Linked DNA regions of Coturnix japonica. The protein of the gene in region 1 purifies or fractionates together with the protein of each later gene. This does not show direct contact. Links are inferred from orthologs where the notes say so. Each region holds a gene or a part of one and is shown in the gene's direction. Other genes may lie near its edges.

Region 1 (5,799 bases):
GGATAGTATGTGCAAGTGCATAGAACTCTTGAGGTTTTTTTTTTTTTTTTTTATAAATGATCTCTTTAGCCTTTTTCAATTGCTTTCCTCCAGAGCTTCCATTTTTTTCTTGCTTACCAGCTTTTGTGGTTAATGCATGAATTTCACACCCCAATATTGCAGGTTTGGACAGAATTCATACCCTCACTTAAAATTCAGCATGAAAAAAAAAGCCTTCCTTAAGCTAACTTCTTTGTAGATCATTTTGGATATGAGAATTCATATTGTTAGTTCTGTCTTCATCTAGGCAAGATACGTTTTGTTTAAACTACAGAGAAACTATCCCCTCAAAAAACACCCCCCACAACCCCCACCAGTATTATTAATTTAATAAATATTCTTGGTGAATATTATTGAAATGTTGGATTTTTGGAGTAAAACTTGTAATTAGATTAAAGGGAAAAAAAAGTATTTTATCCTGTATGTGGTGTGTATTTGACAGTGACAGTCAAAGCTCCAGAGTGTGGGTTGAATTAATAGTTTCCCTCAATACCTCTAATATCTTATTTCTGAAGTTCAGAGAGCGGTGAGAGGCTCAGGCATGGTGTGGATCTAACTGCCCTCACAGGCTGCACTCCTTTGTTAAGGAGTGAGGAAGCTTGAAGTGTTGCTTCAGGAGTTGACTATTCTGCTACTTAGCATATCCTTCACATGCCTGTTGGAGGAGATCTTAATTTGGGTATGGGCATTGTGAGGGGAGAGACAGAGATAGTGTGCAACAGTGAGATGATGTATTGAATTGACAGGAAGGCTCTCGTAGGGAATGCAGGGCTGTTGGGTTGGTAATGCTTCTGGCATGCATGCATGGCTGGCTGCTAATTGTATACTTGGTAGAACTGGTGTTGTCTCTGTCTTGTGCTTTTTAAGCACATTATAAAGTTTAGATTTGCATTTGCTATGGCAAAATAAATTATTTTTGGTTTGTCTCTAAAATAGGAGTCCTAGATTTAAAGCAGTGTTTTCTTGCTTGCGTGATAGTCTTTGCTTGAGTGTTCCATGGGAACATTTGAACACAAAAGCCTGATTTAGGCCCATGAATGTATGATTGTCTTTATTCATGGAAACAAAACTCTTTTTGTATGCATTTTTCAGTCTTCAACTTTGAGGAATTCCTAAAATTGGAGGGAAAGGGGAAAAGAAAAAACAACTCACAAAACAAAGCAAGATTGACTCCTATTCCCAGTAAATAAAAATCAAGATTTTTCCTTTAGTGTATTTTTAAATTAAATTAAATTAAACCCCCCGTTTGTGTCTGTCAGGTATATGATACAGTAAACTGTGTTACACAAGCTGCTCATGAGAACTATTCTTATTGCATAACGCACCAATACAGGCAAATTAAATAGCATCTACTTTTCTGCTCCAGAAGCCAATTCATTCATGTATTGGTCCTCTCTGAATGTGATACCTGTGCTTCTGTGTTATGTTTAGTCTTCTCTTGCGTTGCTTTTTTGTGACTGCTGGAATACTGTACAGCTCAGTATTCTAGCATGTAGTTTGGAATGACATGTCTTTAAAAGCGATAGGATTGAACGTTCTCTCCATTTGATTAGAACATTGACAACAGGATGCTGAAGGTCAAGGGATTAGATTCTATACTGTTGATAAACATAGTTTAAAGGCCCATTGTAAAACTACTCTTCTGTCACAGCATTACCTCATTAGCCTCTTGCTTTACTTAACTGGAACTGCCTGACAGTGGTACCTGCATACTTAGTCAAAGTTTGTGATTTTCTTTTTTTTTTTGCCTTGATTTGGAGGCTTGTGGAGAGCCTTTATGCTGAAGTCTTGGCCCTTTTGTTTTTAAAGAGGAGAAAACATTAATTTGGCTGAAACTTGTTACTCATTTGTGCACAGTTTTTTTTTTTGTTTTTTTTTTTAAGAAGGTTTGTTTCCTGTTTGATTTGTCAGTCGCTGTGTAAGTGAACGTGTCAAACCCTCTGAGGAAAACCAATGCTTCCCTCCCCCTCAGATCCCAGCATGCTGTTCTTGTTGCGGGTATTAGTGTGCGCTTCCTCTCCATCTTCACTTTCCTGTTATTCAAAGAGCGAGCTTCATCATGAGTGTTCAAACAGCCAAAAAAGTTGCATGGAAAAAGTACAAGGTCGCTGTGCCACGGGACACTGCCATGCAGAGCTGTTATCCTTCGCTAGGTAAGAGCGTGCTTAAATGTATTTTCAAGGCTGTACTTGGTAAAATCACCAGCCACATGGATCTGTTCTTATCTTATATATGAGAGCTGCTTTTACTCATTTTGTTCAGGTTTGCTAGATGTAGCAGGAGCAGGTAGTTGCAGGTATGACAGAAAGCAGTTCAAGGGAAGGATTTTTAATAGTGTGTTTTGGTTTTGGATGCTGCTCCACTGCAAGCACTGAGAACCATGGCTGTTCAACAGCTGCTGCTGCAGGACCTGCTCCTTAATGCTTGTCACAGCTTTTCCTTTTATGCATGAAGTGCTGTTTCTTCAGCCAATTCAGCCCCCTACTTGAAAGACTTACCTGTACTTTTGTTAAGCAATACATTGTTATGATGATTTAGTATTGATTATGCCTTTATTCTGTATGTTCCTGCTTATCTGGGACTTTTCAAGCTACATATTTAGAACAGTTCTTTCAATCTTGAGGTTTTTTCTTTTTAATTTTGATGCTGTTTCAAAGGAGCAGTATTTCCTGCATGATAGAAGGAATATTTTTTGGGCCAGGATGCCCAAGAGGAGAAGAAATTGGGAGTGTTTCCCTTTCCTTTTCTTTTGGCCGTCCTGTCCCACCCATCCCTGGTGAAATTTCGTGAGTTAACTATTGCGATGTTCTGTAACTAGGCTGGCATGGTAGAAGTGAATTTGGAGATTCCTAATTCCTGAGAGTATGCACTTTAGGGGCAGTGGTTGTCAGATGAGCACTGATTATTTTCTGAATTGATACTGGGACTATGCTGATGTAGAACTGACCAACCCACAGAAACAGCAGTCAATTTCATTCAGATTGAATTTGGACATGATATATGTAGTTGTACGAAAGCTGGAGTCTGAATTTTTCTTACAGCAAGAAAAGAAAAACTTCTTGAGACATAGTGGCAAGATGGCTAATTTTAAATAAAATGTTGGACTGAAGCTCTGGTCTTACATGAGCTTGCTTTTATAACAATGAAATGTGTTTGGATTTATGCCAGCTGATCTGAGATCAAAAACTTTTCCTTTACGGCTCAACATGAACTGTTAGAGCAGTTGAAAATGTTGAGAGAAATCTGTAAAGTGAGTAGGGTGGCTTTTCACTGTGATTCTGGAGAACTTGTAACGTTGCAGGTCAGATATCTGGTGTTCTTCAAAATCCATGTATTCATCCTGCTAAAGAGATACACCTTCAGTTGATTTCTTTTGTATGCAGATAGGACAAAGTGGTGTTTTTGTGCATGTTTGATTTCTTTGTTGGTGCCTGTCTGTCACACACTGGTGTGTGAAACTCTTTAGCGTTAAGGATGGCTTTGCATTTGTTAGTGCGCTTGAGCAGGAAGTGCTTAGCGACTGTTTCTTAAAGGCCAGTAGTTCCCTATGAGTTGAGAGCCCACTGTGTTTGAAAGCATATATGTCGTGGCCGGTATATTGCAACTGGAGTTGTTTTGTCATCAAACATCAGGATTTTTTCTAAGAAATTTCCTGTATGGCAATGTTGTGAAGCTTTCATAAAGTGGAGGTCTGTAGACTTGCTTTCTGAGAGACTGACGTTCTGAAATTCACTGTTGTCTGTTCAGTCTTATACACATTTTCCACTTTGCATTGGGAGGCTTTGACAGACTTGTGACTTTAGACTATTGAGAAATAAACAGAGAAGAAGAAAAGAAGGTAGAAGGAGAGAGGCGTGGAAGAGAAGACTAGAGAACTAAAAACTGAAAGTGAAAGGTGAAATCTCTGGGTAGGGTCAAGAAGCGATCTTTCTCCAAACAAGACTGAATTTTCAGTAATTTCAGTAATTCAGTGCTAGAAATGTGGGGAAAAAAGGGTAAACAAAAGTTAGTGGTGTGTAACTGTTTCTTCACACTCGTCAGCATTCACATAAATCCAGAATATAAATAACAGGGAGACGTTTAGAGAAGTTTATGTACAGCTTGTGTGCACTCAGCTCTTTGGCCAGAAGGTTTAAGGGTTATTTATTAGCTTGTAAATTTTGCAGTGTTGGCAGAGGTGCAGCTCTGGTCTTGTTGGTTTGTTTGTTCAAATGCTATGGATTTCCTGAATGACAAGAAACACAGCTGTGTGAGAAGTGGTGGGGGCTGGGAGCAGCGAGATTGGAGCCAATATCTGGAAAAATGTGCACATGTAGGTGAGTTCAGGTGAAGCCTCACTGAATAAGTTTTCCATCCTCTGAAGACTGAACAGCATAGAAAAAAGGTTGGAGGAGGCTCTCTACTCCTCTATTCCAAACCTGACATGCAAAAGAGACTTTCATTTTTTTGGGGGGTGGTCTTGAACCTGCTTGTTGTTTCTTGGTTGCATGGCTGGTATTGTTTCATAGTTTCGTGCGGGTTGGAAGGGACCTTAGAGATCATCGAGTCCAGCCCCCAGGATTCGAGCCTCTGTGTAGCAGAGCGGCACTTCTACCACTTGCGCCACAGGGGGGATTCGAACTAATAACTGCCTGCTGTTCTCCTCTCCCCTTCTTTATGTAAGCATTGCTTATCCAAACTAAGATTGTCATAAGGCTGTCTACTGTTGTCCTTTGAATGGGAGTGACTTAATTCATCTTGGAATTTGTCAAAACCAGAAGTACTTCTGATGTGGCTTTTAACTTGTGAAGTAGTGTTAAACGCTTTGGAAAACAACACAGGGTAGCCTGTAGTGGAAACTGTAGTGTCAGATCTTTACAATGAGCATGTTATGTTTGAGTTGGAAACATACTCATGCTAAATATGTTTTTCTCTTGTAATGAGATGTCCTTATTTATGTAAAAAGGTTTAATCTCCTAAAAACCTGGAAAGCCTCTCAGGTTAGTGCTGCAAGTGCAGAGGCACTGGTGGTAGACTGTGTGGTGCCCAGCCATGGCCAGATCTGAATCTCTACCTGAGAGGATATGAGCACATCTCTCCTGTTCTTTGCTGTTCCATGCTGTGAAAAAGGATTTACGTTCTTTCAGGAAAACTTCTGAAACTGTTCCAGGAAAGTTATTGGGCTACAATGTGTTCATATTTATGTATACATACCCTACCTAGCAGCATTTTCTATGGGTTTTTTTTAGTTATTTTTTCTTACCTTAATTGCCTAATTATCAAGGTGAATGCCCCCCTGCCACTTGAAGAGGGGATTCCTCACCCCACATCAAGGAGGTAGAAAAAAGTTGCTGGTTATTTAAACCCTTCTTAAGGGTTCACTCTGGCTCAGCTTCCATAAAATGCCAACTCATGTAGCACTCTGCAGTAGTTGGATAACCTTTGTTACTTCTTGTTCATAACGTTGTGAACAGAAGTAAAAGAGTACAGTTTACACTTTGTGTGAGCTAACGGTTGTTCAGTACCACACTCTGTTATGTTTTCATAGGGGTTTATCAATAGTTCAACAGTGCTTGGTGGTGGGATTTTTCTGGTTTGTTTTTAATTGTGCGTTTAGCTTCTGTTAACAGTTGTGTATTCCTCCTTCTGTAGCCTCCCTATGGAGATCCTAGGAAGGCTAGATGATGAATTAATAACTTCCTGTCAGGTGGGAAGGAATTTATCTGTGTTCTCACAAGATGCATGCACTGATAGCAGCTTGAAATTGTTTTATCATGAGAC
Region 2 (5,227 bases), about 54 Mb from region 1:
CTTGAGTTTCTGAAAGGGCTTCAAGTATCTCTTATCAAACAGATAAAAACATTGAAGTCTTGAAAGGGATTAAAGGAAGGTCCTTTCCATGTGTAAGATTTTAGCTGAAAGGAGCCCAAAGAAGAGCAGTAAAAAGGTGGGTTAATAGTGCTGGACTTAAACTGTTTTTAACGTATCATAAATTGTCTGGAAAAATACAGTGGAAGATGACAGTCTTTTGTAAAGTACTTTGGTGTAGTAAAAGCCAAAATAGACTGTGAAGAGTTGTAGCATCATCTGGCAGTGCTGAATAACTGTGAATGAAACGGTAGCTGAGATTCAGTGTGAATTTATGTGAAGTGGTGTGTGCTGGAGGAGTGAGGTGTCATCCTAATGTCATGCACAGAAAGGTGAGCTCAGGAAGCTGTTACTGCTGAGACAGATCTTGGAGCCTCTCCTGGAAGACTGATGCTCTATTTAGTAGTGGTTAAAAAAGTAATGAAGTGTTGTGACCGAGAGGGAAGGACATGAAGAACAAAACAGGAAGATTACAGCATTGTATAAGTCTATGGTATGTTTATGCTTTGTATGAGCACTGCTGTGGTACCTCGCGCTCACTCTTCAGATCTGCTTTATCTTTCCTGAGAAGAGCAGCAGTCACCAAAGTCAGAGCAAGCTTTCTGTACAAGGAACAACTAGACTGAGAACAGGAACCTTCAGCCTGGATGGGAAGCAAAATGGTGGTGAAGGGACAGTGTTCTGACAACACGTTTGTGGTAAATAGAAACCAGCTGCTCCGTTCCCCTTCCAAGACAAGGGCTGAAGGCACTAAGTGAGCAGGCTGTCAGCTCAGCTGGACCATGAGGCTTTCTGGAAATCCAGGAAGTTGTAAATATTTCTTGTTCTCCTCTCCGAATTTGAGTGGTAGTCGCTTGGTCTCTGTACTTGCATATGCATACAGGCTTTCTTTCAACATTCTGAAAATGTGAGCAAATTGAGGTTGTTCTTTTTCCAGACCGTACAGTGTCTGACAGTACATATGAATGGAGTTGTTCTATGATACCGCTTTGCTTTCAGTGGGGAAGATTATTTCCAGTGACTGACACTCCTTGTGAAGAAGTTGCTTTACATGATGTGCAAGGAAGGAGTTATAAGCTCAGCCTGTTGCTATGGGCTTAGTTTTTTTGCATCACGTTTTTTAAGCTAGGGAAATACCATATAAAGATGATGAAGTTTGTGGATTTGAGTGACTTCATTTTGGCATACAAGCAGATCCATAGTGAAGTAATTAGTGTTTCCTTCCATGTCCTTTCTGCAAGTAAATTGCAAACAGAACCTGGCTTCAAACAAATTCCAACATTGCTTGTTTCAAGGGCCTGCATCCCAGTTGGATCATAATGGCCCCATGGAACATCAGGACCAGAGAGCACCCACATGGGCAGTCTTGTGACCTGGGTTTGTTCCCCTCTCTGGGTGAATGATGATGAAGGCCTGCACTATCTGCACCAGACTGATGGCCTCTCCAATGCCAGGTTCTCAAATGCAAATCACTACATCTTCATCAAATAGCACTTTCCTCTGTGTCCTTCACAGCCTGCTTGTAGGTTTTGGTGTACTGTTATTATGCCTTCCCAATAACTCAGTCTTTTCCAGGCTGAACAAGTAATGTTTCCTCAGCCTGTCCTCGCAGAATAAGTGCTCCAACCTGCTGGCCATCCTTGTAGCCCTCTACATTTCAGTATGTCCTTCTTATTCTGTGGTTCTTGGATATTCTGTGATTCTGGTGGTCTTAAAGCTGGACACAGTGCTTGGAGGAAGTGTAATAGGTTTTGAGGGGCAATCCCTGCAGGCATTCAAGGCCAGGCTGGATGTGGCTCTGGGCAGCCTGGGCTGCTGGTTGGCAACCCTGCACACAGCAGTGGGAACTAGATGGTCATTGTGGTCCTTTTCAACCCAGGCCATTCTGCGATTCTATGATACAATAGGAGCTTTTTTTCACAATGTTCATCAAGTTCTACTCCATTTTACGTTGGTATCTTTGGAATTGAGCAGTGTTTTGGTGTTCGTTTTTTATTTTCTCTAGTAAAATGAGAAAGTGCAGAAATATGTTTATAGTGTGGTTGCACTGAACTGAAACTTTGGATGAGAATTAAAGTATATTACCTTGTCATCAGGAAACTTAATTAGTACATGCATGATGTGACCTTAAGGTGGGATCTGGAGAAATTACCCTGTTAGCTCCTGTTTAGCTTGAGGTTTTCTCTTTTAAGGTAATTTAGTGCCCTTTGAAAGGGAAGATGACTATTTAATTAAATCCTATGAATCTTTATCTTTTCCAATTTCAACCACTAATTTCCCATGTGAAAGTTTCCCCGTGTAGATGACTTCAACTTCATTTTGACTATAAAACCACTTGGGTTTCTTTTAATTTATTCTTGATATAGCTTGTTCATTTCTATCTCATTTTTCATTTCTTTCATAGCTTTAATTACCTTCTCCTTAAAATCATTTAAATCCTGCTCGCTGTTGAAATTAGATTAATAGATTGTATTTACCCAAATGATTCTTGTGCTTTTTTTAAGTACAAGTACTGTCATGTTGCAGTCATGTTCTACCAGTCTCACCTTAATAGACTGATTACTGGACCAAGTTCATCTGCCAGTTCTGGTCTGAATCTGATCTTCAGCATTTTAGGATTGTGAAGCTTTTGCTCTCTAATTAGTTCCACTTATTTCCACGGCTTCTCTTCCGTGTTAAATTTTCCATTGAAACTTGATCTTTCTGATTGGATTAGTTCTTTAAAACACAGCATTCTTTATTCATCTACCTTCTCCCTTTCTTGTTTGTTTGGTTGTTTTTTCCTTATTTCTTGTATGCCCTGTAAGTCCGTTTAGCAAGGACTTCAGACCTTCCCATCAAGCCTGTAAATTTTGCCTGATACAAACCCCAAGCAGTTGTACCACAGAATCATTCAGGTTGGAAAAGACCTCCAAGATCCCCAAGCCCAACCCATCCCACCACATCCCTCAGTGCCACATCCCCCAGATTCCTTGAACATCTCCAGGGATGGTGGCTCCACCACTTCCCAGGGCAACCTATCCCAATACTTGGTCACTCTTCAGAGAAATTTTTCATGTAGGAAGAAGCACTGTAGGCTTTTTCATGAGCTCAGTCCTTCATGTCTCTAGTTTACTGGAAATACACCTTTCTGAAGTCGTCTTTTTTACAGACGTGGCTTTGATCTCTTAAACTAAGCTTACCTTCTGTCAGCGCATCCTTTTTGATGTTTAATTACTTACGGTGTCTTAGATAACCTCATAGATGATTCAGAGGCTGCTTAGTGAAGCATTCTGGTATCTGTCTTGTCTTCAAACATTTTAGGTCTTACTAATATTAGAGAAATCTTTCTTTATAGTGTAACCTGGCTGCAGTTATAGCAGAGACCAAGCTTTACTATTCAAGAGTGTGTATTTTCCAGAGAAATTTTTGCCCTGCGGACAGTTCTGCTTTATCTACGTGCAGCAGTCTTAGCATTTCCCATGACATAATCTTCCTCCAACCCTCCCTATCCATCTTTTACTATATTTTTACTTTCAGAGCTATATTTTTACTTGGGAGCTCTGGGTTAGCAGCGTGGGATGGGTAGGGCAGCGGGGCTGGAGAGGTGAAAAGGTTCATAGAATCCTTAAGATTGGAACAGATTACTAAGATCACCACGTCCAACCACCAACACATCCCATCCTGCCCCCTAACCCTGATGTCCCACACTGTCTTTCTTCTCAGTGCTTTTTCATATGGGATGGTGGGAATAGAGGGATTTATATCATAGCACACTGAAACTTGGTCATTGATAAATTTTATCTTGATATCAGCTAAGAAGAAATTGCGCTTAGGATTATACAAAAGGAGCAGTGCTTTGCAGTTCAAATGAACTGAAATCATTAGGCTTTTCTGTCGCAAGCATGCATTTACTCAAAGGTTTTATTTTATTTCCTTACAGATATTTTCTCTCAAATATCAGACTCAAACGGACTAATGATATTTTCCAAGTTTGATCAGTTCTTGAAAGAAGTTCTGAAGCTTCCGACTGCTGTGTTTGAGGGACCTTCTTTCGGATACACGGAGCATTCTGTACGGACGTGTTTCCCACAACAAGTAAGAGCTAATTCAAAGCAGTTTCATTTCTTGTTACTGCAGTTGTGAAGTCCTGACTTCTTTGGGTATAGCTTGTATGGGGTTTGCAGGAAGGGGGATTTGGTGGCATACTGTGTGTTAAATAAGCAGATTTAATCCTGAATAATTTAAAGTAGTCCACCTAGGTCTTAAGGAAATAAAGGACTTTGCACACATTTAGTGTGTTCTCCAAGGAGCACCTTTGAACACCTGGGAAGAACATTAAGGATAACCTATTTTTGTCTAAAACAGGAAGCACAGCATTTCTACCTTGGAGTTTTTTTAGGCTTACCAGTAGTAGGAGTATTATTTTCAACAAATCAATTGTTAGTTGGTTTAGTCTGCACAAAATAAATGCTTCTGCAGTGTCAATGTTTCTGTTATGATTTGATTGTTCCAAGAAATTGCTTCTAATTTGAGATGTGCAATAGCTTAATTAAGCCTTAATTCTAATGTAAGCATAAGCCTAGATAAACCTAGACCTAAACTTAGATGTTTAGGCTGTGATTGTGATTGCATTCTAAGTATTTCTCAAAGTTTTTAGGTTTAGAATTTGTAGTCATTTTTTGCTGAATTCATATTGCTTAGGAATTCGTATATTTGAAATAGAACACAAAAGGAAAGGGCCTGTAATTGGTGAAGCATCTTTGGGTAATTCTTTGTTCCCAACATCATACCACCCTTCTTCTCAAGCTGCACAAGCCACTCCTGCATGTAGGGATATGGATACTGCATTTAAGGGGCAAATCATGGACTCATTTGAGACCTACTCAGTCAAACATCAGATTCTTAGCTGCATGTGCTCTGTCTACAAGGAGAGATATGAGACTTGCCTGAGTTTTGTCAAGATTGCTGCCTGAACAACCTGGTGTCCTTCTATGATGGCGTGACTGTGTCAGTGGACAAGGGAAGAGCCACTGATGTTGTCTATCTAGACTTCAGTGAGGCCACTGGCACAGTTCCCCACAAAATCCTTCTCTCCAAATTGGAAAGACATGGATTTGATGGGTAGACTGTTCAGTGGATGAGGAACTGGTTATGAGAGCAGTGGTCAATGGCTGCATGTCTGGATAGA
Region 3 (5,227 bases), on another chromosome or scaffold:
TTTTTAAATATGTTATTTTACATTCAGCCCATTCTGAAGAATCTACAGCAATTGAATCCTGCACGTTCCTGTGAATAAAGCAGTCTGGAAGACATGAGGTTCTGTGGGATATACTGATTATTCGGCCACAATAGGAGCTATGTTTGGGATCTGGGGGAGTGAAACATACGTTACCAACAGCCTGCTCCTAGGGAAGGAGTTTTTCATGCAGCTCACAAGAATCCTTCATGATTGATGATTAAGGGAATATTGCCAGGTCCAGCGGGGAAGCACTTCTAGATTCATTATTAAAAAGAGTTTAAAAGCAGCCTGGGGCTGTTAAGAGAGGCAATAGTGCTTCTTTTATTAAAAAAAAAAAAAAAAAAAGTAAATTATGAATTATACAAAAAAATCCTTCAGCCAGAGCAGAGGCTGAGAGGGAGCAGAGTAGGAAAATCCATATCAATCTTGATGAGGTCAAGTGTGTTTCTTCAACATTTGCCATAATTATCTGGCAAATACCTAGCAATAATGGTGTCATTAAACAGAACTGTGGGAACTTATAGAAAACACTTCATTTCTTTCCTCCTCCCCCACAGACATTTTAAATGAGTTCATGCTGGATTTAATCTTGCAGGCCTGGTCTGCTGGTGTCACCGCACAAATGCAAGCTTGATGGCAATGAATAATCTCCACATATCTGGCATTGTGATTAAATGAAGCATGAGGGGAGGCTTATGCTTTTGCATAGAGCATAAGTAAATGAGGCCATTCTGCAGAGAACTCTTCTGCACGTGTACCTCGTAAGGTCTTTGATACCGTGAATCATCACAATGGCAGTTTTCAGCAGGGTTAACACTGCTTTGAACAGGAAAATATGTGTCTTGTGAAGAATATTAACACTGTTTTGTCTGTCTCTTGCTTCAGGTGCAAGACGAAACTTAAGAAATGATTTGCTGGTGGCAGCAGATTCAATCACCAACACGATGTCTTCTTTGGTAAAAGAACTAAATTCTGGTGCGTGAGGCTGAAGAGGGTGGATAGTCAACACATTGATATTTCATATATATATTTGTAACAAATGAGAGCTAAGAGCATACAGACCAACAAAGGAAGTAGTATAATGTAGTTTCAAAGCTTCTTATGCTTATAGAAAAAGAAGTCTCCAAATAACAGTTTCAGAATTCAGGAGTTTTGAAAGCCATAGTTGTAAAGATACAGATGAAGGCAACAAAAATTCATTGAGAAGTTTGCCCCTTGTTTCTTAGGGAAATGGCCTTTTCAGGGAATGGTTGTACCTGAAAGAAAACATCAGTGGCTGTGAAAGCACCCTGGTTGATGCCAACTTTCTATTCCATAAAGAGAAGTTTCCATTTAGAGAGATGACTGGGGTGGCATGGAAGAGGGATTTCAGTCTCTAGAAATTGCAGTCAATATAGAGCATGTAGAAACTTTTGTAAAATGCAGTATATAGTATACTCATAAAAATATTATCTAATGAGCTAAATAAGCAAAAGCTTCACTATTCTGTCCCACCACAAGAAGAAGACAGCCAGATCTACAGATACATGTAGAATAGTATTCTACTATTTTCTACTGCATTCACTGTGATGAGTTGACCACCCTAAGCTGGAAAGACAGAGAAAGGTTTAGAGGAATAGACTGGCACACTTGATCTTGTGAAAGTTAAATGGAAACATCTCTCAACTTTGCTTTCACAGAAGTGGGCAGTGAGACAGAAAGTAACGTGGATTCTGAATTTGGACGGACTCATTTTGATGACCTTGTTCCATCTCCAACATCTGAGAAGGCTTTCCTTGCGCAGATCCATGCCCGGAAGCCAGGGTACATCCACAGTGCTGCTGCCACTGGATCCATGCGCAGTGACATGTGGGTACCTGCTCGATTCACCTTTGTAATCTCATTCTTTTTCTGCTGAAGACAGTATGCAGCATGAAATATTTTCTCACCCTCTCAACTATTTGAATACCCAAAAAAGCCTAAATCCAAATGAGGACAGCTTTATGAATAGACAGTAGTAAGCTACTGTTTTCAAGTAAGTACACTTGAAAGTCCAGAACTTTGAATGCCTTCAGGTGTGAGTTGTCTCATGTCAACTCTGGGACACTCAGGCAGTGGGGAGACTGTGGGACAGCTGTGCCCCTTAATATGCTCTGCAATCCCAATCCCTGCTTATCCAGACCTAAGAACCTATTGGAGCACACTGAAAAAAGAAATAGTGTTTTTTAGGTGGGTTTTTTTTTTTTTTTCTGGGGAAGACAGAATGCTTTTTTACTGACCGACTCAATTGATCAACAAACCAATTTATTTTTAGAACCAGAATCATATCAATAGGCATCCTTCCAGTTATTTTTAGTTCAGTCTCTTACTCTTTATTTTACTCTCAAAGTAGTTGTTGAGGACTCATTTCCATACACCCAAAACACCTTCAGCAGAATATGCCCTTTGGTCTACCTCATCAATACAAGACCATTGGAAAGAGCAAATATCAGCAGTGTTTTCCACTTCCAGGACATTTTTACTTGGTAGTAAACAGTGCTGGAGCAGAGGTTTCCTGCTGTCCTCAAACTTTGCAATAGAGGAAGGTTGTTATTCATTCTGAATGTCATTCATCTCAGGAGCCTGTTTGTGAATAATCATCTTTAGGGTTACAGAAGACGGAGATCCTTTTGTCAGAGCAGATGATGAAAATTATGAGAATGACTCTGTCCGCCAGCTGGAGAATGAACTGAAGATGGAGGAGTACCTGAAGCAGAAGCTGCAGGATGAGGCGTACCAGGTGAGAAAAGGAGCTGACCATACCACTCCATAAACAAGAAATAATTACATGCCAGACCTGCCCAGAGCCCTTGTTATCCTGTCCTGGGCCCTGGGGTGTGATCTCTTCTCAGTCACTAGAGCAGCCATATTCAAATAATAATAAGAGTTGCAGGGCCTGGAAGGGACCTTCAGAGACCATCATGTCCAACCCCCTGCTGATGCAGATTCTCTACAGTAGGTCGCACATGTAGGCATCCAGACAGATCTCAAATATCTCCAAAGGAGACTCCACAACCATTCTGCACAGCCTATTCCTGCGTTCTCTTACCCTTATTGTAAAGTTCTTCCACATATTTGTGTGGAACTTCCTGTGTTCCAGTTTTTGGCCATTGCTCCTTGTCCTATCACTACACACCACTGAAAATAGTCTGACCTCATCCAGATGCCTCCCACACTTTAGATATTTATAAACATTGATTAGATTCCCTGTTTTCTGTTCTGTAGGCTGAGTAGGCCCAGGTCTCCAACCTTTACAAAAACTCCAAAATTCTGAAAACTGCTACTGTTCTCTTCTGTAGGCATGTGTGAATGTAGCTTCTGTGCATGCACTCCTGAAGCACACAACCGTATCCTTATCCTTATCCTAACTTTATCCTTACCAAGGCCCTCAGGTGGGCCAGAATTGCCTCTCACCTTGTTCTTTGCCAGTTTTGCCTACATCATTTAGACCTCCATGCTCCATACCACAGAGGCTGGTTCGTGGTATTAAGCCAAACTCTTGTTATATTTAGATTTTGTTTTCCACCAGTAGTTGAAAACATTCATAATGGTTTCTCCACTCTGAACTGAAGTTTAAATACAGTCTGTGTGTCATTGTCATTTTCAGGATCTGGAAGGGAGGAGAGGGTCTGGAATGAATTATATCCTAGAGAACCAAGTATTCAGTAAGCATATAGTATAGTGGAGCCTGGGGATTTGTCATTAAATACCCCCTGAGGAAGTTTTCAAAGGGCGTTTGTTCGAGAATCTGAGAAAAGCTAATTTGACAGAGGGGTCTGGAATTCTGTAGATATCCTGTCCTGCCTGTGCAGCAGTCTCCATTTCTGCCTGCTGTAGTAAATTATCACAATTTTTTAAGTTATTCTGATTTGGATCATACTAATATAAAACTCACTTTCTGCACAGAGACCAACTGTGCAGAAATCAGATTCAAAAGCACCTTCCAGATGGGAGATTTGCTGGTAGTTTTTCTGTAGTGCCTACTGATGGTCGCTTTGGAGACAAGATCCTGGGACTGACAGGCTCTTGGCCTAATAAAAAATGACAGTTCTTTTAGTTGCCTCTTCTGTAAAGCTGCTAGAATTAATTATTCTTAAAAAGTTCATTGTTTCATGTCAAAATTGCAGGTATTTTTGAGGTTGATGAGCATTTTGGGGGAACTTGTTTGCCTCAGTCTGCTACAGGCTCGTGGTAACTTGCCAGAACTCATTGGATTGCAAAGGTCGCTAAGGACATGATGACAGCAGCAACAGTATTGTTGTGGGATATATATACTAAGGCAGTGTATACTAACAGTGGATGACATGGGGTGGTTGGTTTTTTTTGTCACATTTTTTTTAATCCAAGCTAGGAAATGACAAAGATGACAGTCTTTAAACTTCTGAGATTCTTCTGATGTAGCAGAAAGTAACTGTCAGTTACTGCGGAGTACATCAGCAGTGACAACTATCAAGCACCAAATAATAAATGTTATTATTGCTGGTAAAAATTCTTTTTGTGGAAGGGGTAATAGGCCAATTTGACTGAAATTTGATTAGGCTATGGAAGTACAATATACAGTGATGGTGTTACGTGACACACGAGTTACATTTTGTGCACACGCAAAACTGAGAACATGAGTACAATGCAAAATAAGGGTATTCCTTGTGTAGTAGAAGTTGCAAATGTTGCTAAATAGACCTGGATGTTTCTCTTGCTTCAGTGAAAAATAGTACTGTCTTTCAACAACATTCACAGAAGGGGAGGGGATCTCCCTGATGATGTCAGAATAAGATTCGAGCATAGGTGAGCCAAGACTACACCGAGATGAACAGAAATGTGTTCACTGAGGCAATAGAAAATCCTTATTCAGACAAGTTCCATTTAAGAGAATTTTTCCAAAAGAAATTTTGTACTGTACTCCACTGTCTATCACGTTGAGAGCTCCTATCAGGCAATTATTTGATAGCAGTAACTTATAAGTAAAAACTATTTTTAGTTGATAACCACAGATTCAAAGGATGCAATGTGTGTGAGAAGTCCTTTCTACAATATCTGATGCCCTTTCGGTTATGGAAGATGTTTAAGCAAGCAAAATTATGTGTGAATATAGTAGCAAGCACTAGGATGACTGGGAGGTGGTTGGGTAATATCACATATTGCTCCTAAGACATATGCTTTTGCTTTGGCTTGCTCACTGTGCTAGGCA
Region 4 (4,620 bases), on another chromosome or scaffold:
GTTTTGGTTGCACATCTGGTGCTGTATGGGTTCCCCAAGGACTGCAGGGTGCCCTGTGCAAGCCATGGGAGGTGGGCATGAAGGATTCATCCAGCAGCTCCCGCTTCGGGCTCAGAATCCTGCCCAGGGAGTTTCAGGGATGTGGTTGCCTGTGCTGCCGGTTGCCAGCAGCACGGCTCAGAGCACAAAGGGCTCAGCGCTCACTCCTGGGCAGGGAGCAGCAGCCCCAGCGCTCTGCTCTCCATCCCCAGCCCCAGCTGCAGGCTGCCAACATCTGGCTGCCAGCTGTGAGCCGCCTCAGGGGCTGCCGCCGGCGGAGCCCCCGTCCACAACCATCCATCCCAGGCGCTGCCCTGCCCGTGGGGATTAGAGGTGCGTGGGGAAGGAGTAATCCGGGGATAAGCGCGGCGGGAGCTAATATTATCTCCTGGTGCCCGCAGCAAGGGCAGCGCATCCCGTCCAGCTGTGTGCCGGCTCAGCAGCACCGGGCGCCCCGCGGAGCTCCCACCACGGCCTCTCACCGTCTCCTGCGTGCGGGGAGCTGCGCTTCACAGCTGTTTCACAGCAGATTACCGCTTACTCGCTGCTTTTTTTCGCTTTAATTCCCTGCTGCCCTGCGGCCGTTCCCTCCCTGCTGAGGGGGCTCCGCTCTCTGGCTGGGCCGCCCGCTGCTCGGCGTCACCCCCCGCTCTGTGCTCTGGCACGCAGCGCTCCCAGCATCTGGAACGCATTGTGTTGGCTGTCCCTGAACGTGACAGCGGGGAGCGGCGCGGTGACGGGACGGCACTCGGCGAGTGAAGGATTTTGGTTTCCTGGCGCCTACCATGTGTTTGGGGAGGGATGGTCCGCGGGGACCCGGAGTGATGCGTCCTTCCTTCCTCCCAGCCCGGAGAGGAGCGCGGGGCCGGGACGTGCTGGCTGCAGGCACCATCCCGGGGCCGTGATCGCCTGCGGCGCTGGAAACTTGGCCGCAGCGTGCGGCTGGGTGGGCAGGATGGGCAGGATGGGCTGCAGGCTGACCTCCCGCCCGCACCATTGTGCCGCACCGCCGAGCCCTTCCGATCCCCGCATCCCGATGGCAGCGGGGTGGGCCCCGTGGGCCTTTGGTTCCCGGCAGGGGTCGGCACTGGTGTGACCCCGCGTGGCCCCTCTTCCCCCCACCCTAACAGCGACCCCCTGTGTCCGCAGTGAAGTTCATGCGGGAGGTGACGCCCTACATGAAGAAGCCGTCGCTGGTGTCGGACCTGCCCTGGGAAGGGGCTGCCCCGCAGTCACCCAGCCTGAGCGGCAGCGAGGACTCGGGATCGCCCCAGCACCACGGCGCCCGTGACCGCAAGGTCATCCCGCTGAAGATGTGCTTTGCTGCAAGGAACCTCAGCATGCCCGACCTGGAGAACCGGTGAGCAGGCGGCGTTCGGGAAGCGCTTGGCACGTGTCTCTGTGCCCCCATCCCGGCCCCATTGCTGGCAGCACGCCTGCAGCCGGGCTGGCCCCGTCCCAGCGCCCCGTATCCCCACAGGCTGATCGAGCTGCACTCGCCAGACAGCAGGAACACGCTGATCCTGCGCTGCAAGGACACGGCCACCGCACACTCCTGGTTCACAGCACTGCATGCCAACATCACGGCGCTGCTGCCGCAGGTGCTGGCGGAGCTCAACGCCGCACTGGGTGGCACAGCCGGGGGCCGGGAGGTGAAGCACGTCGCGTGGCTGGCAGAGCAGGTACGGGTCTGTGCTCTGTGTATTGGGGGATGCCATCCCTGGGTGGCACCGTGATGCTGGGGAGGTGGCGGCTGGAGCTGCCCTGTCACTGAGCTCCTCATCCAGGCACGGCTGGATGGTGGGCGGCAGCAGTGGCGGCCGGTGCTGATGGCGGTGACGGAGAAGGATCTGCTGCTGTACGATGCCATGCCCTGGACGCGCGATGCGTGGGCCTCGCCGTGCCACAGCTACCCGCTGGTGGCCACCAGGTACCGGGATGGGGACTCCTGCAGGAGCTGACCCCTCACATGGGATGGATGCAGCACCGATGTCCCCCTCCCGTCCCCAGGTTGGTGCATTCAGGCTCAGGCCGCCGCTCGCCCTCGCTGGGCTCCGAGCTGACCTTCGCCACACGGACGGGCTCACGGCAGGGCATTGAGATGCACGTCTTCCGTGTGGAGACTCACCGGGACCTGTCCTGCTGGACGCGGGTGCTGGTGCAGGGCTGCCATGCTGCTGCTGAGCTCATCAAGGAGGTGTCTGTGGGTGAGTGCACAGCAGCACCGGGGCTCTGCCCGTGGGACAGGGAGTCCCCAGCGGTGATGGTGGTGTGCTGCATGATGGTGGCGTGCTGCATGATGGTGGTGTGCTGCATGATGGTGGTGTGCTGCATGATGGTGGTGTGCTGTATGATGGTGGTGTGCTGCATGATGGTGGTGTGCTGTATGATGGTGGCGTGCTGCATGATGGTGGTGTGCTGCATGATGGCGTCTGTGCCTCCTCCAATGCTTGGGGAAGTGTTGGGGTGTCTGGTCTGACTGCAGCCAGGTGCTGGGGGCAGAACCAAAGCCGTTCCTGTTCCTGCAGGCTGCACGCTGGGCGGCCAGGAGGTGAAGCTCTGCATTCACTACGAGGGCGGCTTCACCATCTGCCGCGATGAGGCGGGCGGCAGCGTCCTGTACCGCTACCCCTATGAAAAGCTGAAGTTGTCAGCGGACGACGGCATCAGGACCCTCTATCTGGACTTTGGAGGCCCAGAGGGGGAACTGGTGAGGAGGGACCCCTATCCCGGCGTGCCGTAGGACTCGGGCTGCCCCCACGCTGTGACAACGTTCTCCCTTTCCCTCCACAGGCGCTGGACCTGCACTCCTGCCCCAAGCCCATCGTCTTCGTGCTGCACACCTTCCTCTCGGCCAAAGTCACCCGCATGGGGCTGCTGGTGTAGGTGACGGCCCTGCCCCCCCCAGCTGCCTCCACAACACAAAGCAGCCGGGGAAACATGGAGCCCCCACCGCTGCCTGCCTCTCCGGTGCCTTGGGGTGGGGGCTCCTCTTCTGTGGCTCAGGGGGAGCTCAGCGTTATCCCCCGTCCCCAAAAGCCATCTCTGATCTCACCACCTGTGCCTTGCGGCGGGGCCGCTGCTCCCCCCAGGGGCTTCACTGCGTGTTCCTCCCCCAGGTGGGACCATGTTGGGCATCATTTGTCCCCCCTGGGAGACTTGTCTTAAAAATGTGGGCACTGGGGGCACTCTGGGACCTGGCGCTGTGGTGCCGGTATGGGCAGGGGGCTCAGTCCCTGCCGTGCTGCGATCACAGGGCGGGTGCTCCCCAAGCTCTCAGAGTCTGCAAACGAGCGCTGTTCCCTCCTGGGCTGGGGGCACAGCGGGACCCCTCTGGGCCTCGTGGCTTTGGGGAGGGATACGTAGATCGATGCACTTTTGCTTTTTGTACTTTACCTCTGCCCCTGGCAGGGGATGGTGCTGCTGGGGGATCCGCTGCGCCCCGGCCCAACTCCTCTGCAAACGTTTCTGCTTCCCACGGGCTGTGCCGGGAGGGCCTGGGCTGCAGAGTCCCCACCCAGCACAGCCCTTCTATTTTTGTACTCTTTGTAAATCGCTATTTATACAGACTGGTCATGTGTGGGGTTTGTGATCGGCACTGCGGGGAGCGGCCGTGGGGGGCTGTGATCCATGGGCTGTGATTGATCTATGGGCTGTGATTGATCCATGGGCTGTTATTGATCCATGGGCTGTGATTGATCTATGGGCTGTGATTGATCCATGGGCTGTGATTGATCCATGGGCTGTGGGCCCTGTGGGTGGTGGGTGCTGTGTGTATGTGGGTTGTTTTTTTGCTGTGGGTGCTGTCTGTGCTGCACATATACACATACATACACACACATACACACACACACACACATGCTGCACACACACTCACTGTTCATGCTGTCTTTGCATAGATGCCTGCAGGAATACACACACGTGTGCTGTTTATATGCTGTTTTGTGGTTGCACTGTGTATGGTCCGCAGTGTGTGTACATGGACACACCTGTATACATGGATCCATCTATATACATACGTACGTGTGCACACACGTTGCACACGCAGTTCGGGCTGTGCACAGACAGCAGCTCTGCATTGCATACAGTGAGCAGAGCAGCAGGTAGCGCACACACACACACACACACACACACACACATATATGTGTATGTACCCCCGCAGTCTGTGAGGTGTGTGTGCACTGTGAGCCCACACAGCGCCGTGTTGGCGCAGAGCCGCGATCTCGGCCGTTCACATCCCGCTGCTCCCGGTGCAGCCCCGCGCACCGACCCACGCCACGCTCACACCGACTCGCGGAGCGCGCTGTGCGCATGCGCGTGCCGTCCAACGTAGGCCCCGCCCGCCCCCTGCAGTACCGGAGGGCGCCGCCAGGGGGCGCCGTGTCGGCCGCGCACAGCCGCAGTCGGGCCGGTCCCGCGGGCCCCCGCCGCCGCCGCCGGGCCGGGTCGGGTCGCTGCGGCTGCGGCCGCCACCGGGCGATGAGATGACAACGACCACCCTGCAGGTACCGGCACCGCCCACCGGCACCGGCCGCCAACCGCCCCGCCGGGCCGCCATGGGTGGGCCCGGACAGGCCGAGC
Region 5 (5,227 bases), on another chromosome or scaffold:
AGATTCCCAAAGTACACCCCAAATGAGATGCCAAATCTGTACGGCACAGACAAAAACTACCCGTTATCAACACCTTTGAAGAAGAAGTTGTTTATAGAATTCTCAGTGGTGAGCACTTATCTTGGGACTTAGATGGCCACTCTTGTTCTCCATTCTGAGTATTTCCATTGCTTTCATTTCAAGCATCAAACAGTTCCATCTGCTTTCCTCCTTCAACATAATGCCCTTTTGTAATTTTCCCATCTTTTTGTTATTAAATCATTCTTGGCCTCTTCAACAAAGCTGACACAATGACCTGCACTATTTCCTTGAAAACCTCTCTCTTGGCATTTGAATAACATCACCAAATAAGTTTGCATTACTCCTGCCCTTCCAGCTCATCCCGTCACTGTTTGAGCGGCATCATTGAGTGACAGGAGCCAGTTAGGCAGCCACGTTTGTGCTGGTGGGACATGTTCATTTACACAAGGTGCCTGAAGGTGAGGTCCCTCCTTGGAGGATCCCCACTGAGAATTAATTTCTGCATACAGTACAAGTAAGATTGTTTGGGATTACTATATTCATTGTATATATATTTGCTACTATATATGTTGAAAGAGGCTGAGAAAAGATCTGATCTGGCACCATGATTATCACAAAAAGCTTGAACTCAATTTTATTTCCCAAGAGAAGGCTAATAGGTGAATTGATTTTTGTTTACTCCAGACATGTACATACAAGTAAATCAGCTGAAACTGCTTCCCAGCAAGCAGAAGTAGCTCTTGAGATCAGTGACAGGATGCTGACAGGCATAAACCAGGAGTGAGATGTGAGTTCCCAGCACTGGGATATCACTGGAGCATTTTAGATAAGTGAATAATAGATACACTGTTCCTTCATTAAACGTTCTTCTTAGAAACTTCCCTGTAGCTCATCCAGATCACCACTTCTGTACCTAAAAATTGCTCCATGGGAGTTCAGAGCCTGCTGAGCAGAGGTCAGATGGCACTCCAGGCTTTACGCTCCATGGATCCTTATGTTCTTTTTTGTCCTATTCTGTTCTTTCCTCCTGTTTTGCTCATTGTACTGTGCTGAGATAGAAAGGCTGCAACCAAGTCTCAACCTTTTGTATTTGCATAGCTTTCAGTGCTGTGATGCTGGGCATACGAAGGCTGCTCCAAAAGTAATGCCTCCTCTTTTATTATGTTGGCCCACAATGTCAGAGGCAGATGTTGGTGATACGGCAGCAGAGGTGGAAGCTTTGCACCGATATTCTGTTACATGTTCTTGTTGTGTGACAGATGACAGCAGAGGGACAGTCTGATCAATTGGTGTCTAACATGGAATTGTGTATGAAGCAAAGGTGTGGAACTGAATTCTGCTATGTGGAAAAAATGACACGCGTTGACACTTGCTGAACATTTATGGGGTCAAGATGGTAAATGTAGCACAGTGACGTGGTGTGTGGTGCATTTCATCAGTGGCAGCAGCAATGTGGAAAACAGGCCATGTTCAGGATAGCCACACGTGGCTGTCACACCATGAAATAGAGTGGCCAGCATAAAAATATTAAACAGTGATGAGAGTTAGTGCCAGTTCAAAGAATTATCAATAAATGGAACTACTGAACATCCATTCATTCTTCTCTTTTTCTCCTCTTCTTCTTTTCTAAATAGTGAAATACATGAGAGAAGCAACACCCTATGTGAAGAAGGGCTCTCCAGTTTCAGAGATTGGATGGGAGACACCTCCTCCAGAATCTCCCCGCCTGGGATGTGTGTCTGCTGACCCACTGTCACAGCTTTCGCTCTCCATCCACAGGGACAAGAAGACAATACCACTCAAGATGTGCTATGTGACACGCAACATGACGGTGTCAGACCCTGAAAACAGGTAAGCAGGGGGTTTATTGTAGAATCATAGAATCATTTGAATTGGAAAAGGTTCTTAAGGGCCATCTCATCCAACTCCCCTGCAGCGAATAGGGACAACTACAGCAAGATCAGGTTGCTCAGAGCCCCATCAAGCCTGACCTTGCATGTCACCAAGGATAGGGCCTGCACCACCCAGGTTTTGAGTGGGGCTGGGATTTGCATTAAATAGCCGTTGGCCTCTCCATCTGAGGGGCTGGGATGCAAAAGCTGGTGATGGGCTCTCACCCTTGCAGTGAGGAGCAAGAGGGCACTGATCTGAGAACAGAACATCCTTGTGACTGAGTTGAGTGGTGCTGGGTTGAGTGCACAGCTCTGTTTAAGGACACACATGTCAGCTTTTGGGTTGTGCTAGAAAAACTCTTGAGAACAGTAATTCAGTGTTTTTGTTAGAAATAGAATCACAGGTTTTTGTTCTTGTCCTGATGAATGTCTGCATATTCTGAGCTGGTTTAGTCTAATCCCAGTAAATTACATTTTCTTTTTGGTGTTTTTTTTTTGTTTTTTTTTTTAAATGAATATTATTTTAAGAACAGGCTGTTTTATCCATTCAGTTCTGGGTATTCAAGTCAAGAATAGGAGAAAAGTTCCACTTACAGGGCATTAATGTGGAATTTCTGTGACTTCTTGGTTTTTTTTCATAATGTTAAAAATAGGATGAGCTTACTAACCCCTATTTATAACATATGTGGAACAGCTGCACGCTGTGATAGAAAAGGGACCAGTCAAATCTATAATACAGACTGATTCTTCCATTCACATAATGGCATTTTTGTTTTTCTTGTCTGCTTGCTTATCAAGAAGCAGTGTGGAATGCTTTTGGTTCTCAGCAGTTATGTATAGGCATGAGCAAAAAGTACATTTTCATTTGCAGGGTTCCAGGGGATGGGTTCCCCTCTATTCTCTTCTGCCGTTCAGAAACTTTATAAGTATCCATGTAATTTTATTTCTCTCTCTCTCTATATATATATATGCATTTGTTGGACCTTCTTAAGGTTTTTGCTTTTCCCTTTGCAAAAACCTCCAGCTTTCTTATTTAGTGTAGCTTTGCTTTGCTGCTGCTCTTCATCTCACCAGCTGGGTACTGCTACAAAAGTACAGTTACAAAACAGCAATTACTTCTACCAGTCTTGCTCAATTTTGTATCAAGATGACTGTTGATAAGAGCAGCTTTATTCACATAAATCTGTCAGTTTAAGATGTCAGGGTCTGACAGCTGTATCGCTAGTCTGGGAGTTTGTAGTTCTCTGTGCATTGAATGTGTTGTAAAAAAGCAGGCAGGTCTTGTCATTTGAATCAGCACAATGTCGTGATGCTTTACACATGTTGACGTGATACTTTCAGCATCTTTCTCTTCTTTGTCTGTATTGCAATTCTCAACTTCTATCACTCTTGGTCCTCAGCTTCATGTAAAAGATAGGAGGACTGATTCAGAGAGGCAAACTCTTGCTGCTGATAGTACTTCTGTGATGGTGCTGACTTCTTTGGGGTGTGCTACAAGTGTACATTATTAGGTGTAACCAGGAAGTAATGCGTGGGAGAGTCACACTGCTTACTGTCACGGTTTTCACTTTGTGCTGCTCTCATTTCCTGTGGAAAGAGTGACTTCTGATTTTTACAGTATTCCGACACAATGGGCACTGTAAGTTGGATTTTTCCATCTAAGCACACGGTACTTCAGAATCATGGTAGCTGCAATGCAGTAGTAGCGTCTCACACACTTGTGTCTTTGCTCATTTCAGTTTTTAAACAACTCTAAATACTGGCACTGGTATTTCTCAGTGGAAATGCTATTATAATGCAATGAGCCTTTCCCACTGAAATCTATCCCAAGATAGTAATCCGATCCCACAAGAATAATTGGATCTTTGTTCACAGCAGGGACCAAACCGTGTCCTTACATGCTTATGACACTTCTGTTTCATAACTGAGTGACCTGACACATATAGATCTTATAACCGACGGTGTCACTTTGCGGTGCAACTTTAGAAGAGCAGCACTGACATGCTGCCAAAGCATATGCTGACCATAAAAGGTCTCCTTTGAACTACATCTGAACTTATTTTCAGGTATTGCCAAGACTAAGTGTGGATGTAGTTAGCATGAGGTGTCCATTGCAGATGTTTCTTCAGCACTGGTCACAGCAGTGTGGTGAGAGCAAGCTTAGCTGGTTTGACTTTCAACACGAGATGGTACCTATTTTAAAGGATCCAGGAGAAAATGCCTGTTTGTTAACACTGAATCACCTTCACTTCTTTGAAAGTTGTGCTGAAACATGGGTTTAGCAGGCATGGAGGAAGTTAAACTTCTGGCTTTCCCAGCAGAGCCGGTGGCCTTGCATTGGATTTCTGCTTCTCCTTTTAGATCAGAGTCAGCTGAGAAATTACTTATTTTTTATCTATCCTCTAATAGTTTGGTGAGCTTGTTGTTTCAGCACAGAAGTGAGATTTGGTGCCTTTGGAGCCAGTGGTTCTCGGAAGTCTACTTTGCCCAACCTGCCTGCAAGTTCAGCCTTCACTGAGATAAGGGATTGTTTTCCCTGTTAGCTGATTAAAACAGCTGTAAGGTATCAAGAAGAAAATCTCATGTAATACAAACCAGCAACAAGCCTGCGCGTGTAGGAAATTTTGGACAGTACAAACATGGCAACAGTAAAAAACACACAGAGCATTTTATTTACATCTATGTCAGTTTCATCTAGACACAGGAGCCGTTGTTACATTTTAGTCTGGAATAAATAAGGTTAACACAATTACCACTTATGTCCGTTGTTTGCCTGTGTTGTCACTAGTGAGTGTCCTTGGTGGCGGCACTGATGGTTAATGTCAGAACACACAGGAAAGCGTCCCCCCCATTGAGGGGGCATGTGGGAATGGTCACAGCTATTAATACCAATAAGCAGTAAATCCTACTGCAGTATAGAAAGCTTTTCATCAGCTTCTGGTGATAATTGTAAGGAATAGTAGGGGTGACAGTAAGGAATAGGAAGGTGCGGTAAACTGGGATCCAGTTACTGCAAATGCAGCTGGAGACTTAATTGCTTTGATTAAAATAGGGTGGGTTTTTTTTTTTTTGCATTAATAAGTATTGATTCAATAAACTGTTTGCAAGATTTACCTCACAAATAGTGCTCTTCAAATTGGCTCCTTTTGTACACATACTTAAAAAAAAAAATAAAATTATGTTCTTAACATTTTTTAATAACTTGTTAGTAGTGAACAGCGACAGAGTCGGTGAGACTGAAAATGACCCCATCTGGAGTACTGAGTTCTAGAGCCCCCAGCACAAGAAGGACATGGAGCTGTTGGAGCCCAGAG

Evidence for each region.
Region 2: the proteins of UTRN (region 1) and DTNB purify together in Homo sapiens (affinity purification with mass spectrometry; 3 studies listed by BioGRID and IntAct, with this or other methods). This does not show direct contact. The link is inferred for Coturnix japonica from reciprocal best matches to the Homo sapiens genes UTRN and DTNB.
Region 3: the proteins of UTRN (region 1) and DTNA purify together in Homo sapiens (affinity purification with mass spectrometry; 3 studies listed by BioGRID and IntAct, with this or other methods). This does not show direct contact. The link is inferred for Coturnix japonica from reciprocal best matches to the Homo sapiens genes UTRN and DTNA.
Region 4: the proteins of UTRN (region 1) and SNTB2 purify together in Homo sapiens (affinity purification with mass spectrometry; 4 studies listed by BioGRID and IntAct, with this or other methods). This does not show direct contact. The link is inferred for Coturnix japonica from reciprocal best matches to the Homo sapiens genes UTRN and SNTB2.
Region 5: the proteins of UTRN (region 1) and SNTB1 purify together in Homo sapiens (affinity purification with mass spectrometry; 3 studies listed by BioGRID and IntAct, with this or other methods). This does not show direct contact. The link is inferred for Coturnix japonica from reciprocal best matches to the Homo sapiens genes UTRN and SNTB1.

The regions. Positions count from the first base shown.
Region 1 is NC_029518.1:41,331,299-41,337,097, forward strand, and holds the start of UTRN (utrophin), read left to right. Parts: upstream 1-2,064; 5' UTR 2,065-2,098; coding exon 2,099-2,192; intron 2,193-5,799.
Region 2 is NC_029518.1:95,621,037-95,626,263, reverse strand, and holds part of DTNB (dystrobrevin beta), read left to right. Parts: intron 1-3,979; coding exon 3,980-4,134; intron 4,135-5,227.
Region 3 is NC_029517.1:97,177,775-97,183,001, forward strand, and holds part of DTNA (dystrobrevin alpha), read left to right. Parts: intron 1-906; coding exon 907-996; intron 997-1,700; coding exon 1,701-1,869; intron 1,870-2,646; coding exon 2,647-2,779; intron 2,780-5,227. UniProt on the Homo sapiens protein: May be involved in the formation and stability of synapses as well as being involved in the clustering of nicotinic acetylcholine receptors.
Region 4 is NC_029526.1:16,875,276-16,879,895, forward strand, and holds the end of SNTB2 (beta-2-syntrophin), read left to right. Parts: intron 1-682; exon of another isoform or gene 683-688; intron 689-1,188; coding exon 1,189-1,399; intron 1,400-1,519; coding exon 1,520-1,721; intron 1,722-1,826; coding exon 1,827-1,969; intron 1,970-2,049; coding exon 2,050-2,246; intron 2,247-2,567; coding exon 2,568-2,749; intron 2,750-2,832; coding exon 2,833-2,925; 3' UTR 2,926-3,608; downstream 3,609-4,620. Other genes in the region: VPS4A (vacuolar protein sorting-associated protein 4A), read left to right, coding at 4,524-4,544. UniProt on the Homo sapiens protein: Adapter protein that binds to and probably organizes the subcellular localization of a variety of membrane proteins. May link various receptors to the actin cytoskeleton and the dystrophin glycoprotein complex.
Region 5 is NC_029517.1:123,475,753-123,480,979, reverse strand, and holds part of SNTB1 (beta-1-syntrophin), read left to right. Parts: intron 1-1,655; coding exon 1,656-1,872; intron 1,873-5,227. UniProt on the Homo sapiens protein: Adapter protein that binds to and probably organizes the subcellular localization of a variety of membrane proteins. May link various receptors to the actin cytoskeleton and the dystrophin glycoprotein complex.